Linked DNA regions of Mytilus edulis. Each later gene encodes a partner of the first gene's protein in a complex. Links are inferred from orthologs where the notes say so. Each region holds a gene or a part of one and is shown in the gene's direction. Other genes may lie near its edges.

What was found.
Region 2: the proteins of structural maintenance of chromosomes protein 2-like (region 1) and condensin-2 complex subunit H2-like are in contact, whole or in part, in a cryo-EM structure (PDB 9F5W), measured with the Homo sapiens proteins. The link is inferred for Mytilus edulis from reciprocal best matches to the Homo sapiens genes SMC2 and NCAPH2. Residues at the interface, in NP_001036015.1 of Homo sapiens: Leu93, Thr125, Gln128, Asp129, Cys132, Gly135, Leu136, Asn137, Met173, Tyr174, Lys177, Lys178; in NP_689512.2 of Homo sapiens: Glu46, Phe53, Ile54, Glu55, Leu58, Leu59, Gly62, Ser63, Ala64, Cys65, Val66, Lys69, Tyr73.

What each region holds. Positions count from the first base shown.
Region 1 is NC_092344.1:125,106,920-125,114,788, reverse strand, and holds the start of structural maintenance of chromosomes protein 2-like, read left to right. Parts: upstream 1-4,175; 5' UTR 4,176-4,265; coding exon 4,266-4,433; intron 4,434-7,869. Other genes in the region: uncharacterized protein, read left to right, coding at 221-1,357; probable ATP-dependent DNA helicase RecS, read right to left, coding at 1,376-2,441, 2,965-3,458. UniProt on the Homo sapiens protein: Central component of the condensin complex, a complex required for conversion of interphase chromatin into mitotic-like condense chromosomes.
Region 2 is NC_092350.1:23,511,668-23,520,611, forward strand, and holds the start of condensin-2 complex subunit H2-like, read left to right. Parts: upstream 1-5,624; 5' UTR 5,625-5,703; exon of another isoform or gene 5,704-5,719; intron 5,720-8,944. Other genes in the region: lipase maturation factor 2-like, read right to left, coding at 1-81, 492-520, 3,678-3,880, 4,365-4,415, 5,186-5,279. UniProt on the Homo sapiens protein: Regulatory subunit of the condensin-2 complex, a complex that seems to provide chromosomes with an additional level of organization and rigidity and in establishing mitotic chromosome architecture.

The sequences.
Region 1 (7,869 bases):
ATGTCTGTGTCATTTTGGTCTCTTGTTGACAGTTGTCTTATTGGTAATCATACCACATCTTCTTTTTTATATCTACATAAGAAAGATAATTTGAAATAGATTAAGTTGTAAGTTGATATTTATTTTGAATATATTTTTTCAGAAAAACACTTTTATTTTTTGAGAAATGCATATTTTTTCATTGTTAAACCCGTAATCTGTCTGATTGTTTCAATTTCAGGTCATTTGGAAGTTGCTCTACTCAACCTCGTCAGCTAGAGACCAGGGAACTCTGTATGCAGCACGCAATACCATAAATGCAAGAAATGTTACCCAAGATCCGGCTGATGATTTTTATGCAGCTTCTGATCTTGTTGAGAAAGTTACCACAGCATATATTATAACAGGTGGTCTTACTCATTTTGGAATGGAAAGTATAGACTCTTTACCCTGTAAAAATGTGTATGAGGGTGCAGTTGGGAATACAAATGAAATGAAAAAATATATTTTTGATCAGGCACGCTCGTTTGTTAAGACATTCACATTGCCAGAAATACCAAAACTTCCAGAATATGGGCCAAATTGCAATACGTATAATTGTAGATACTGTGGAAAAAAGTACAAACAACCACATTCCCTCAGAAAACACGAATCCTCCATTCATGGTCATTATGACCCCCTTTTTGCTAAGGAAAAAGTATCAAGTGGCAAGGATAACGAAAATGAATCTGATGGAGTTAGTGCATATACAAAGTTGGTTTTAACATTGGGTTTATTACGAATGGATCACAACGATGCAATTCATATGGGTGATGGATCAAGGATGTTGAGAATTGACCAGTTCCTTGTTTTGTATTATAAATATTGTCATTGTACAAAATACGCCTTTGGTACTTTGGAAACTATAGCCCAAACTGAAGTTCTGTTAACAGAACGCCAGGCACACAGACTGATATGGAACAGAACTGTAAAACATAAGGGGGACGCAAACACAAATCATCCTAATGATTTAGATGTAGAACATTGTAATAAGGTATTTAAAGATTCTGCCCATAGTTACAGAGGTGTTTTTACTGAGAAAGTGGTTTCGAGAGTCAGTAAGAGTGCTATGAAAGTCCACGAAATTATCAAACAGTTTGACAAAATGTGCAACGTGCATGTTCCATCAGGACGACATAAAACATGTGACAAGGAAATTGACATTATAACTTTGGTCAGACAATTCCAGGCATGTAATTTATTCGATTTCATTCCTGGCCGATCACATTATGCCTATCCAAACATGAAGGAAAATCCCCTTACAGAGCTAGACATGGAGTTTGTTAGAGACTGGATTGGTGCTAGTTTAAAAAAGTTTCAAAATAAACATTTCTATTAGCAGAACAATTTTATTGTTTCAAAACATTTCATCATCTGAACTGTAAATGACTTGTGGTTTTCTTGTTGACGATTCTAAAACATCACTGTCACTATCACTTGAAAACATATCATCCAGTTCTGTAATGTCATTGTCATCGTTATCATCACTATCATCATTGTCCTCATTTGACATAATAGCTGTGTTTATTTTAGGGAGAACTTGATTGCAAGTGTTTGTACATACACATTCATCTTCACAACTGCATGCACATTTGCACGAGAGACGACAAATATCACAACAAAAGTGAGGTATATGTGCATGTTCAACAATTGTTTTAAATATATTTAGAATAAACGCCCGTCTACAGGTTTTAGATTTAACATATTCTTTCATAGATGGGAATATATTTTGACTTCCTAAACATCTTTTGTAAGTTAGTAGAATAGCATTGCATTGTTGTGAAGGTTCCCTACCAGCACGACCAGATTCTTGTACATAGTCATCAACATCATTAGCTGGACCATAATGTATAACTGTATCCACACCTTTTACATCTAGACCCATGCTAAAGGATGTTGAACATAGAACAACTCTAATATTACCGTTTGGATTCATGTAGGATGTACAAATAAAATCTTTTACGTCATCATCGGTTTTCATGTGGAACATGTCAAAAAGGCGATTTCTGTTATCATTTGGTCCTCCCTCTTTGAAGTCTATGTAAGCATCATGCTTAAGGGATGTTTCAAGATATTCATATACGTCTGCCATGTGTTTGATTTGCCTAAAGAATATAATCATCCTTGAAGTGGCCTGCTTATATCCTCTTAATAAATTTACTAACCATCTAAAATTGGTGCAAATATCATCTGAAGGTAAATTATGTACCCAGTATGTTACATTCTTTTTGTCGGGATTTACCATAATCTCAGTGCAGTTATCCATACAAAGTTGCTTTTTAATGACAGCTTTGGTTTCCTCTGTAGCTGTTGCTGTTAGAGCCACTACTGGTACATGACCCCCAACAAGTGAACGAATTTCGTCAAGTCGGCCATAACATGGTCTATATGCCAATTTCTTCTTCTTTTTATCTGGAAGCCCACTGAAAAAATTAAAATTAATTAATCATATTGCAATATAAATCTGCATAGGTCTCATAAAAATGCCTAAGCATTACAACGAAGTATTTCATAAGAAAAATTATGTAAGTACCATAGAAAACATATTTATAAAATCTTAATTATTGTAGATATCCAACAGTCCAGTAGCAAATATTTCATACATCTTTCAAAACATCACAATATGAATTGAAAGTTTTTAATTTGGATACCATTGGCAGAATAATCTTTCATAATAATAACAGAAATATTCAAATAAAAAGGTGATTAATTATTAAAAGTAAAATTAAATGAGAATGTTTTGAATAAATAAACATTAAATAGTTATTGCATGTACAGATATATATACATTTATAAATATATGATGTTCTTTTGTATGCATGTACTGTTTTTAAGATATACATATTTATTCTTATGTATGTTATAGCTTATGTTAGAGCGATTCAGATGATTTGTTTTTCTACTTTAGTATTATACATTATTATATGTACAAAAATAAATACTTACAACTTTTTTATGCAGTGAGCTTCATCTACAAATACTGTCTTGATAAATTTTTTCTTTGCCAAATCCAATAGTAATTTTCTTTCATGTCCAATAAGTGACTCTGGACTGGAGAAAATAATGTCAATTTTGCCATCCTTTACATCTACTAAGGAAAGATTTGTTAGGCTGTCTTCAAAATTCGATGGTGAGGTAATGTCCTTCAAATATACTGCTTTAATCCCTTTTCTATTCAATGATTGAGTCTGTGTACGCATTAAAGATGTTAGAGGCGAAATAACAAGTACAATACACATATCATTCTTCTGTAAATATTTAAATACAAAAGGTGCTATTTCAAAAGTTAGTGATTTGCCACTTCCAGTTGGAGAACAGAAAAATACATCTTTGCCTGCCAAAAAGCTTTCTACAACTTTTCTCTGGTTAATTTTGATTTCAGTAAATGACAACTTTTGTAATCCAAAATCTATTGCAGCAGATATGACATCTGTATCCATTTTGATGTAAGAATCATAAGAAAAGTGAAATTGTAATCTACTTGAGATAAAATATGGGAGAACAGCATGGGATATATACACATGACAGTCTAATTATCTATTATCAGCAGATGTGAAATAATAACCTCTTACCGACCAGTATCTGGTCGGTATAAAATGTTATTATACAAGTCCCTTTCTCCAAGGGCAATCAGTAGGCTGGCACTTATCAGTAAACATATAAATTAGTAAGAGAGAAATATTAGAAAGGGAATTGTAGCAAGTCTAAGTGCCACTAAATGTATCATTATACTATAGTCAGTTGAACTAAATTAAGCCAGCTCCCCCAGTGGCGGATGCAGGAATTTTCGAAAGGGGGGGTGCTAGCCCAGGGCAAAGGGGGGGTGCAGGGGGGGTGCAAACATATGTCCCGATTCAAATGCATTGATCGGCCAAAATAAAGGGGGGGTGCGGACCCCCGGAACCCCCCCTCTGGATCCGCCACTGTCCCCAATTGCTAGTGAATATAATGTGTCTGTTCCCACATCACGATGTTATAAAATCATGACGTCCATGCAATTTTATAATTGAATTATTCCGAATTGTCAAACGGCTCAATCCATATAACCGAAAAAGGTCCTCCTATCCAGCACGGTTGGAAAATATTTTATCCGGAAATAGTATCTCGAGTACAACCGTCAATTGTTTTGATTCGTATTATTAATGTCTTACTTCCGTTCAGTCATGCGCGTACATTATTATTTTTGAGCGCCAGTTTGAAATGAAAACAGACAGATGATTTAAAAACAACATTTACAACTTTTGGCAATGCATATTAAATCTATGGTCGTAGACGGCTTTAAGTCGTATGCTCAAAGAACAGAAATCAACGGATTTGATCCCCTTTTTAACGCTATAACAGGGTTAAATGGCAGTGGAAAATCAAATATTCTGGATTCTATTTGCTTCTTGCTAGGAATCACAAACCTTTCTCATGTAAGTTTGTTTCTTTTCATTAATGAGCAAATATTTTAATTTACACAAGCTCACACGAATGTTAACACGATGTACTGTGGATATCTTTAATCCTCTATCTTTTGGCCGTATGGCACAACTGTTCTCATTGGTGCATTTTAATAGAAATAATTTCTATCCTGGTCCAGTTGGAAGGCAAACAATTTAATGGCTTCTAAGGTCAAGACATTGGTCAAGTGATAAAAGGTCAGAGTTTACGATATTTTGGTAAACGTGCATGCCTCATGGTTTTTGGACTCGTAACGACTAACGTGTAGCCACTTTATAACGGTTAATGTGATTGGATGATCTTCAAAAATCAATAATAAAATTGCTAATAAATGATTGGATACGAAAATGTGTCAGCTATTACTTTGATGAAAAAATGCGGTCTTACTAATTAGCGACAAGAAGCGACAAGAAAACATTTTTTTTAAATTAAAATTAATTATTGCAATAAATAATAAAAGAATATGCAAAAGAAAATAATTTTAGCGACAAGAAAGTTTAAATTGATAGAAAAAAATGAAACATTATTTACATAATATTTTATCATCTATTATGAATAACAGCCAGTATTACGTTTAATTATTGTATTATGAGATTACTTTTCCTTGTGTTTTAGAACATACTATTTATCTTATAATTTGTTTTTGGAAAATGACGCAGTCATTGTTCCATAACTGCCGACCTGAACTTCATTACATTGCTCTGCCTACCGCGCTTGGTTTCGTATTTCCTATTTTCCAAACAAACTGGAACCTGCTTGTGTTATCATTATGCATCGTTGTGTAGTATTAAACCAGCCAGGACCCAGTTTACACTGGTTTTTGCTTGTATTCCACTACACTCGAACAAAGTGTTGTAGTTTGACGGGAACCAGTTTTAGAATTTGTAAACTACAAAACGTAATCGGTTATTGTTCATTCCGTTTTGGTGTTTCATACCGACTTATATGGTTTGAATAAGCTTAAGACCATTTAAACATTAATGTGATAGGTATATTAAAGATTGTTTTACAAAAGGATTGAACTGTTTTACTTTCAAAGTCGTACTATAGGGATGTCTGTCATATACGGATTTCCACTCTCACCGGTTAATTTCTTCTTTTACACGTGCTTTGGAAACTTCCTGTTTAATCGCAAGTTTTAAAATTGTTTTTGAGTGAATTAAACTTATTTTAACAATCATGAAGCGTTCCAGAATCATTTTAAAGCAGTTTCTTCTTCTCTTTGATGATGGAAAATAGGTTTTCTCAAGAAAATACCGCAAACGATCGCAGAGGAATTGAAACGTACAAGTCAAGTCGGCACCTGGTTAAATTGGCATCTAGTCAAATCGGCACCTATTCGACGTCAATTCGGCATCCAATAATATTTGATATAATATTTTCTATTCAATTAATTAATTACTGTTACCAAGTACATAGTGAATATGTTGTTGTGTATTTCGGTAAACCACGAAACGAAAGTGAATATGTAGTGTATAAAGGTAAACAACGAAGCCCTTACCAAAGCTGTTGTTTTAACAATTAGACAATTACACTTAGACAATTTGTGTAATTGTAAAAACAAGTCAATTATTAAAATAAAATGGAAAACTATGAGTCCCTTTCAATAAATCAAACTTTCATGCCAAATAATTAGCAAATTTAAGGTGTTTGTTTTTCAGTAAAGTTTAAACAGCATTAAACCAACAATCCTGTAAAATGCTCAACTGGTTAAAATAATGCAGAAAAATACACAATATCTCATGTATTAGTCCAAATAATTATGACGTCTGGCAAGGCTATTTTATTATTTTTCTGGGACGCCTTCCTACGACGTTCAGGTGCCAATTTAACTAGGTGCCAGTTTGACTAGAATTCTTTGACAAATGTTTGAAACTATCTGAGTTTCATTAGACCTTTGATAGCAGTAACAAAAAGATTATTTACTTAATATTTTGTGGGAGAAGGGGGTTCAGACTGTGTGGCATCAGGTCTGTTTGTGCCCAATACATTTTCGCACCCTACACGTTCGCACATTCACACTCTACTCATTCATGCCCAATTTTAATTCAAATTCAAGTTGAATAATTGGAAAATTATGGTTGTTGTTTTAAATTGCTTTGGTGTAAATACTGAATGTATTTATAGCTTGGTATGAGTAAAACATTGAAGATTTTAAAGGAAAAAACACAAAAGATAATTGTTTTTAACAGCTTGGTCCCATTGATCTGAAACAACGAAACAATAAAACATAGAAACCAAAATATAGCAATCCACTAATATAACCAAAACATGATAAAATTTATTCAACACGCAGAAACAAACATAGTCAGAATCTCACTTCATTTTGAAACAAGTCAATGAAACAAGTTATAGCAATACACTAACCAAAACATGATTAAGAGTTATTCAACACAAAATAAAACGTTGACAAAATACCACTTTATTTAGAAAGGATTATTATTATTTTTAGCAATACCTTATCCAAAACATAATTAAGATTTATTCAACACAAAAAAAAAAATTGCTGTCTCACTTTATTTTGAGACAATGACAACAATTATACTTATAAGAAAACACTTGCTTACATAGTTATTAAACACAAAACCAATTAAGATTGGGTGTGAACATGTAGGGTGTGAAAGTGAAAGGGGTGAAAATGAGTGGGCGCAAACTTGAATGGAAGCAAACGGACTCAGATTCAGACTATGTACCAGTGAGAAATATACAAGCCTTTCTACGGTATTTATTTGTACAATTCAGCTAGTCTTGACCTATTCATTTGTCTTAAAAAACCAGCCAGTTGTCACCTTCACTTCACACACACACACATATACGAATATCAATTATATGCTTACGATACATGTTGCATTGTTAAACTAATTACGGTATGTGAAAATCAAGACTTGCATAAAAACTATCCCTATATTAGAGACAGTGGCGTCATTTTTCTTCAGAGCTTTCAGCTCTTTGATTTAAAACTCTTTTTGTGCAAGATATATTAAGCTCGCAAAATGAATTATTTGTGCATCATTGTCCTGAAAATATTGACACAAATTTTGAAATACAAAGAACTGAAATCAAACAGGAGGAAAAGAAATTGAAATGTAAATGTTTTACACTTAGAGCATAGTATTAAGCAAATGAATCCGTGAAAATATTATATTCCATTAGGCCAACTAAAATTAATTAGTAGATTTTCATCCACATTTTTGAAAAAAATGGGGCGGGTGGGAGGATTTTATTTTTTAATTTTTATTTCAAAATTTGAAACAGGAAGTTTGGAGGGAAACACAATTTTTGACGGTTACCGGAAACGGAGATGAACAAATCCGGAAATCGAAAATTTTTCAAAATAACAAAAATCGGGGCGGGACGATTTCAGAGGGGCGGGCGGGGATGAAAATCTACCAATTAATTTTAATTGGC
Region 2 (8,944 bases), on another chromosome or scaffold:
ATTTTGTACTTCTTTGGTAGCTGAATATTTAATGGTGCCACCAAAATTGTTAGAAAACCTGCTTCCAACAGTAAAATATCCCTGTAAAATAAATTATTCTTTTTTTCAATTTATACATTATATACACAAAATGCACCATCATATTTTAATGATAAGTAATGAAATACATGTGACCTATACTTGTTAATTTCTGTGTCATTTGTTTTTTTGTAGAGAGTTGTCTCATTGGCAATAAAACCACATCTTTTTACTTTAAATTTTTATACATGTAACTTTTACTACTAAATTGTTTGTTTCTAAGTTTTTTATTATCTAATACATCTTGATTGAGTCTTTCTCCTTCATAATATAATATTTGTGCATCATGGATGACTGAATTTTGCTTAGCATTCTCAAGAGTTTGGTAATTTCGAATAAAAACTATTTCTTTCAAAATATTTCCAGATGCATGCAATTTGTAAGTCTTATTTCATTTTATGTCAGTAACTTACCACTGAAACCACATAAATGTTTGTCCAACCTGAAATTACAAAGAATATATATTTATTAACTGGCATCTCCAATGCATTCAGATCTGTTCTGAAAATAATTCAGAATGTATCTTAATGTACAATCCTTTCAATACTGTTGTTGTTATTTTGGTGTGTGTGTGTATGTTTCTTTTTTTTTTAACATGCCTATTGTCTAGATTCAATTGAATATTTGATTGTTTATAATTAAACTGTGTATGTGTCTGTGATATATGCACTCCTGCAGCCCAAATTTGGTGAATAAAATATCTTATTCTTTACTATAGGTTAATTTTCAAATTATCAAGTAAGATAATAACTAAATAGTCATGTACATGTACATTTACAATATCTCACTTTTCAAAAGTTTAAACAATACTTATCTCATCCAGTTTATAAGAATATAGTAATTTAAAATTCAACTGAAGTTAAATATATCTGATTATTAAGTATGGTACAAACACAGTACATTGTATCTACTGTGGAGTCATCAACAGAGAAGTCCTTATAACAACTACAGACAGATACAGATAAACATGTAACATCAAGAACAGAATTATCTTAATGAAACCTTCCTGGTATGTAGTCAGAATATCATCTGCAAAAAAACAATCCTTTTTTTTTAATCTTTGTTAACAAACAACCAAGAGCAAACTCCCAACAAAATAATCACCATAACACCTACTTGGTAAAGATGTAATGTCCACAACAGGGCAAATTTCATGACAACTTGAAGTGTACCTGTTAGGGACGACATCAAAAGATCGATGTAGGATAAAAAACTTAAATCAAATAGTTTGGGGGTGGGGGGTCAACATTTCTGCTAGTTTTGTTAATCCAAAATTGATTTTACATATATCCATAAAGGTAAATCAATTTTTCCCAAATTAAGTTAAGAGGGGGGGGGGGGGGGGGTGTCAGTGAAAAAACTATGTGAATTAAGTTTTTTATCCTACATTGAACTTTTGACGTCGTCCCTTATGTTTACAGATATAAGATCAACAACAGAATAATCTTCATTACACACTTTTATTGTACACATGAAGACAGACATAATGTGTACATCAAGGGATATCCAAAGTACACCTACCTGGTATATAGACAAATATAACATCAAGGGATATCCAAAGTACACCTACCTGGTATATAGACAAATATAACATCAAGGGATATCCTAAGTACACCTACCTGGTATATAGACAAATATAACATCAAGGGATATCCTAAGTACACCTATCTGGTATATAGACAAATATAACATCAAGGGATATCCTAAGTACACTTACCTGGTATATAGACAAATTCGGGCGAGCCTGATATTTTTTGTGATAAAGTCAGTATCAAAAACAAAAAGTCCTTTATTCTGTTTATCGGTAATTTAAAAAAAAATTAAAAATCACTACAATAATAGAGAAAATAACAAACAAACTTCTTTTTCGCGTCGGATCACGGCGAATCACACTTGACGTCACAGGCTGCATTACGTCATTTGAAATTTTGTCACAGTGCAGTAAACATTAAACATGGCGTTCTCTTGCACAAAGTATAAAGATTTGAAGGAATTATTGCATGTGTTTCATTAATATTTTGCTTTGGACATGACTCTAACGATGGCAAATATAATGGTAGCATACCGGTAAGTCAAATTTCTGTATTTTTCACAAAGCATCAACAAAGAGGGGGATAGGAGGGTTCCTGATCCCGAAATCCCGGCCCGTTTAAAAACACGAAATCACGAGGTCCCGAATATAAAGTAAATTAAAGTAAATCCCGACATCCCGAAATCACGAGCTTAAAAACACCTGATCCCGGAGTCCCGATAAAGGTCCTATCCATGCATCCATGACCCCCCTCGAGCATAGTAAGTCAGAACATTAGAATGATACGATATGAATCAGCAGATTAATTGTTCATCGATCATCATTTTTAAGTTCAACGACAAGTTATTATAATTATATTTTACTTAGTTTAGTGGATAAAATTACATTTATCTTGTCATTATTCGCTCAGTGTTCATCATGAAAACGATCACATTGATTTCAAATAATTTTAAGGAAGCACTGAGGAGTAGTCCAAATAATTATGACATCTTGAAAGTTTATTATATTTTTTCGTCATGATTATTTGGACTATGTGAGGAGACATTTTAGGAGCTGAGTGACTGTTAAAGTTATTTGTAAATTATCTGAACAAGCTCATTTCTTGCCTTCTTCATAATTATTTCAAACATTTTAATAGACGTCACTAAACTTTTAGCTTAATATAATTCTTGCTTTTGTCAAAGTCTTGTTCATCTATTTTCAACACGGACCAGAAAAATGAAATTTGAGTTTACAGTCACTGTGGTTACCTTTAATTTCTTATGTGAATTTAGGGGAAGGCGACCCGTGTCAGTCACCTCTTAGCTTATAAAGGCTACAATTCAGGTCAAAGCAGACCTTTATACATGTATAGTTTGGTGACCCCGGTTACCCCCCTTTTTAAAATTTATCCTACATGTAGATCCGCAAATGAATAAGTTCACTTTTTTGTTCTTTGTTCTATGAATATCTGTCTTTAAATTGACCATTATTTTCTAGCTTCTCTCATGCGATAGCGGTACCTTTTTGGTCACTATTTATGTGTTGCGTTTAAATATGAATTGCAACACTTTATAGTGACTGAACAGGTAAAACAAATACTTCTCAAAAAACAGAAAAAGAAAACTACTTGGAACAGCACCCGGCTATGTATTGGTATTGTATGCATAAAAACTCGGATTGGAACATCATGGACGATATAATAATGTTAGTCATGTACTTAATATATCAATTATAGATAACACATTTTTTTTAAAAGTCTATCGGCTTTTTCATGCATATTTTGTTTACATTTTGACATCAATTGTTCAAAAAGGCTAAACTAACTTTGTGAAAGTTTCAAACAATGTAAAGTATTTCATCGCCAAAAATCTCGTGCGTTTCTGCGAAAAAAATCATGCGCAATTTTGTGAATGAAAGGGGAAAGTAGATCCTTACGCGTTGTATTCGCGCATGTCAATTGCGTACTAACCCAATAATTTTTATATCACGGCCAGTCCACTGATACTGACATTATCAGTGAGTACACATCAAAGGAAAATATACAAATTACCGATAAAACATCAAGGGATATCCTAAGTAAACCTACCTGGTATATAGACAAATATAACATCCACAAAAGAGTAAAGGCAAAAACATCTCTAGCTGCCTGGAAAAGAAGTGCTGCAAAGGAGATCAGTATACCCAGTATACAAAGGAGATCAAGGCCAGTCTCGGTATCTAATCCAATCATTGGCATTAATCTCAGCAAAGTTGGATGTCCATCTAGCAAATCAGCAAATGACTTTGCAGCTAAAAATATAAGATTGTTAATAATGGTCAGATTTGATAGAGGAACTAAATGAACTGGCAATCACATAAGTAGTGTTGGTAGAGTGTTAATAATTCACAATGTCTTGACTCAGGTTTAGATGTATGATATGACTTTTTTCTATTGGGGACAAATGCATGTTTTGTTTGTTGGTGTTTGGTTTTGTTTTTTTTTTTTTTTTGGGGGGGGGGGGGGGGGAGGGGGTGCTGTCTCAATGACATACAGTGACATATATACAACTTTCAATTCATTCTTTACCCTTTAATTAGAGAATTTAATTTAAGAATCGCAGTAGTGCATGAACAGTTAACAAACTGAGACAGGCCTGGTATCATATGAATAGAATTGTACTTCAATCATGGAAGAAGAATCCTGTTGTACTTTTACAATAGTTTGGTAATAAATAGTACATGTATGCTACAACCTTAGTCTAATTTAAAAATCTTAAAAATAGAACTTAATTACCTTTCCCAACCGCTAATCTAGCTGGCAATATTCCATTGTCACCATATAAACCTTGAATGAAAGAAATTTGGTTAAAAAGGTTTTAATATTTCTGGAATCAAAATCAAAATTTATAACATTTATTTCAATTATTTCAGAGTAAAGCAAAAAGTAACTACAACTTTAGGTAAACACCTAGAAAAGAGTATAATTTCTTTCCAATATTAGAAAAGTAAATGGTACTCAGACTCAACTAAGTAACATACATGGCATATAAACAAAAATATTTGATATATAGACTTTCAATTGATCAGAAGTCAGAAAAGTTGTAAATATTATTTGAGCAGGGGGATGTTTGGATTCAATAGTTTATGACAGATGTAGGGAGTAATGAAGTCAATCATTTATTGTATGTGTCACCATTCAGTATTTATAAGATATTACAGAGTAGGTATTCATTAGGATGGTGAACATTGCTCAAGGTCATTGTTCTGTAAGTATAAAATGCTTTAGATTTCGGTTTAGAAACTGATTAAAATTTACCTAGTTATTCATAATATAAATCTTGCTTTCCAACTATATTTAACACAGTTATACTGTTTCAATAAGTTTTTTTTATATTTATAACTCTTTCAGTTTCATTTCTATAAATGTCTTTAAAATGATGTGCTTGAATTGGTCAACAGAATCTGAACATAGAACTCAAGATGGACTTTTATAAATCAAATTGAAATAAATAGATTTAAAAGATAAGTAATGGGTTATTTATGTATAGCTATTGGAAATCACTTTATGGTTATAAATGTTAAAATCTGAATAAGAGTAAACAAACGGATAGTTACCAGGAATTTGTACATATAGTGATGAAAATGCAAGCAAATATATTGCTGCCATGCCCCATAAAAAGGCATTTTTCGTTACTTTGTAAGATGACATCTTAATGTATAATATTAATAACCAAATCACAACAACAGCCGCTGCAACGGACCTAACAACACTTTCGGACACAGTTGCACTGAAAAATAGTTCCCTGTTCAATAGATGTCAACTACTTCATCAATCGTTTATCTGATCATAATTACAATAATTCACACTACAAAAGATTCAATTAATTTCTTGGTTTAGCTATGATTCTATAAATTTTAATGCTAAAACAAATTGTCATAATTGTACTTTCATTTTGTAATTGGCGGATTAAAATATTCTACTTTCGTTTTTGATGTTAAACAATATTTGATTGGATAAAATATTGCAAGGTGCCCCGTTATATCCAATCAAATTGTTCCTTCAATATTTACCATTTTATGTATTAGCGGAAGCGGGATATCCAAAATCAAAATATAAATATAAAAACTACCAGGTAAATAGTAAAAAAAGTAGGTGTTTATGAAAGCTTTCATCAGTTGTTCATTACGAGCAAGAAGGCTCAAGTTATTCACACCAAAACCCGTCCTCTCTAGTTCATGGAAGGAAGAGAAGCCACAGTTTGAAAGTCAAATTAAATCTAATTTACTGAGTATTACTATATCACATATATGAAATAAAAAAGAAGATGTGGTATGATTGCAAATGAGACAACTCTCCACAAGATACCAAATGACACAGAAATTTACAACTAAATGTCGCCGCACAGCCTTCAACAATGAACAAAGCCCATACCACAGTCAGCTAAGCTATAATTTATAAAAGGCAAATAACAAATGAGGAGGGTTCCTGATCCCAAAATCCTGGGCTTTAAAATATGAAAACCTGAGGTCCCGAATTTAAAGAAATTTAAATCTTGACATCCCGAAATTCAAAAAAAGAATTCCTAGATCCCGAAAGGATCAATCCAGAAATCCCAAACTTAAAAACACCCGATCCCAACGTCCACGTCCTGAAAAAGGTCTTGCCCCACTCACAAATGTAATACAATTCATACGAGAAAACAAACAGCTTTATTTATGTACAAAAAACAACAACTACTGAATAACAGGCTCCTGACTTGGGACAGGCACTTACATACAGAATGTGGCGAGGTTAAACCAGTCAGGGGACTTAAATGTACTTAAATGAGTGATTTTCTAATCACTGATTCAAGTAACATTATGGCCATTAAGGTTGGAAGTAAGAGTTGTCTTCTTTTATAATCACCTATTTAAGTAGTACAAATTAATCACTAGTCTAAATTTGGGTCTTCGTCGATACCATACTTATTCCTGACGTTCCGTATTAGAGGACGTATTTGGCATTTCCTCTGCACTTCTTGTATTATTATTACTTCTTCACGATGACAACAATAATAGTAGAGAGTATCATTAATTGATAAAACAAAACAACAATTCGCTGAAGGCATGTTTACAAAATGTCAAAACAAGCCAAAGACCAAAAAGTGACAAGGACAGTTAGTCGCCTTTTATGGAGACAAAAACTATATTCATAAAAAGACTTTGGGGTTTTTCAACGAAAAAGTAGCAAGCTGAACTAAGTTAAAAGATAATAATTAGAGACAAATCTCGTCTGTACTAGCCAAATTTTACAAATTTAAGGTTGTAAAAAATCATATCATGAATGATGGTTAATTACTTTTTTGGGTAATCAGTTACACCCCATGGTTCTATTATTTCCATAGGAAAACGGGCCTAGGAAAACACCGAGACGTCCCAAAAATATATAGGTGCTCCTATCATTGGAGGAACATTACACAGTTGTGTACACACACATGGCGGCACGGAACACGATCGGAAATCCATTTGACGATATCTAAACATATCTAAACGAAGTGAAAAATATTGTGCGCCACATGGGGGCTTACATAAGTCACTCTATGCGCCATTTCTGGTCGATAGGCGCAGGGCGCACGACCTTCCCGATCACTGATTATATATGGCCAAATAAAAATATATGTGTGGTTCCAGTTACCCTACCTACCCAACTAAATGAATGAATGGGTTATTATAGTGGAATTATAGTTATCCCGTACCATTGTAAACTCGTACCAACGTCAACTCGTACCACTGAAAAAAACCTTGTACCAATGCAAACTCGTACCACTGCTAACTCGTACCAACTTATTCAAATGCATTTAAATGGTGTTTAATGATGAATATAATTTTTTATATACATGATATACGTTACTTTCACTCAATACCTCTTAAGTCTGTTAAATGTATATAATTTGAAAGTACAATGACCAATTTGTAGCTAATGTTCCTTGTCTATTGGATAGAAAATACCGTGGCAGATGTAGATTATTAAAGTATTATCAGTTTTACCCCAAGAAAATATTAATTTTTCATGAATAAATCTTAGCAGTTAATCAAAATGATTTCCAAAATTAAATTCTTACTGTCTATAAATAACAATGAAATGTAACATAGCATTCAATTTGTGATCATGGTTTACAGCTTTAATTAATTTAATTTGGATATATATATTCAACTTAGGGTACAGTTAAAGCAATGTTTTAACTTTCTTCTGGATTAAGTTCTAGTTTGAAAGATCAGTTTAAGCAATAAAGCTTAAAAAACATTCTCTATTTTTGTCTGAGTTTTCATTTTTAACCGGATTTTTGTGACAAAAATGTCGGTTATTGATTTGGGGATGTACGGCGGGCGGGCGGGCGGTCGGGCAGTCGGGCGGGCGGGCGGCAATCAAATGTTGTCCGTGCATTAACTCATGAACCGTTCAACCAAAGCTTTTAAAATTTTAATATGTTGTTACTGACAACTAAATGAAGGTCAAGTTCAATAATGGCGATTTTGACTTTTACCGTTCAGGAGTTATGGTTCTTGAAAGATTGAAAAATGGAGTTGTCCGTGCATTTACGCATGAACTGTTCTACCAAAGCTTCCCAAATTTTAATATGTTGTTACTAATGAAAGAATGGAGGTCAAGTTCAATAATGACGAATTTGACTTTTACCGTTCAGGAGTTATGGTTCTTGAAAGATTGAAAAATGGAGTTTCCAGTCGTGTCCGTGCATTTATGCATGAACTGTTCTACCAAAGCTTCCGAAATTTTAATATGCTGTTACTGATGACAAAATGGAGGTCAAGTTCAATAATGACGATTTTGACTTTTACCGTTCAGGAGTTATGGTTCTTGAAAGATTGAAAAATGGTTTTTCCCGTCGTGTCCGTGCATTTTCTCATGAACCATTCAACCAAAGCTTTTGAAATTTTAATATGTTGTTACTGATGACAAAATAGAGGTCAAGTTCAATAATGACGATTTTGACTTTTACCGTTCAGGAGTTATGGTTCTTGAAAGATCGTAAAATGGCGTTTCCATTCAGGTTGTTGCATTTACTCATGAACCATTCAATCTAAGCTTTTCAAATTTTAATATGTTGATACTGATGACAAAATGGAGGTCAAATTTGATATTGACGATTTTCACTTTCACCATTCATCAGTAATGGTTCTTGTGATATTGCCAGGACACAAATAAATGTTAATAAATCCGGTTTGCTGTCGTTGTGACAGCCTCTTGTTTAATATATTTTTAATTGTACGAGTTTACAGTGGTACGAGTTCTGAATGGTACAACTTCCCAGTGGTACAAGTTAACTTTTTTGCTACGAGTTAACGTGGTACGAGTTTTCGATGGTACGAGTTAAC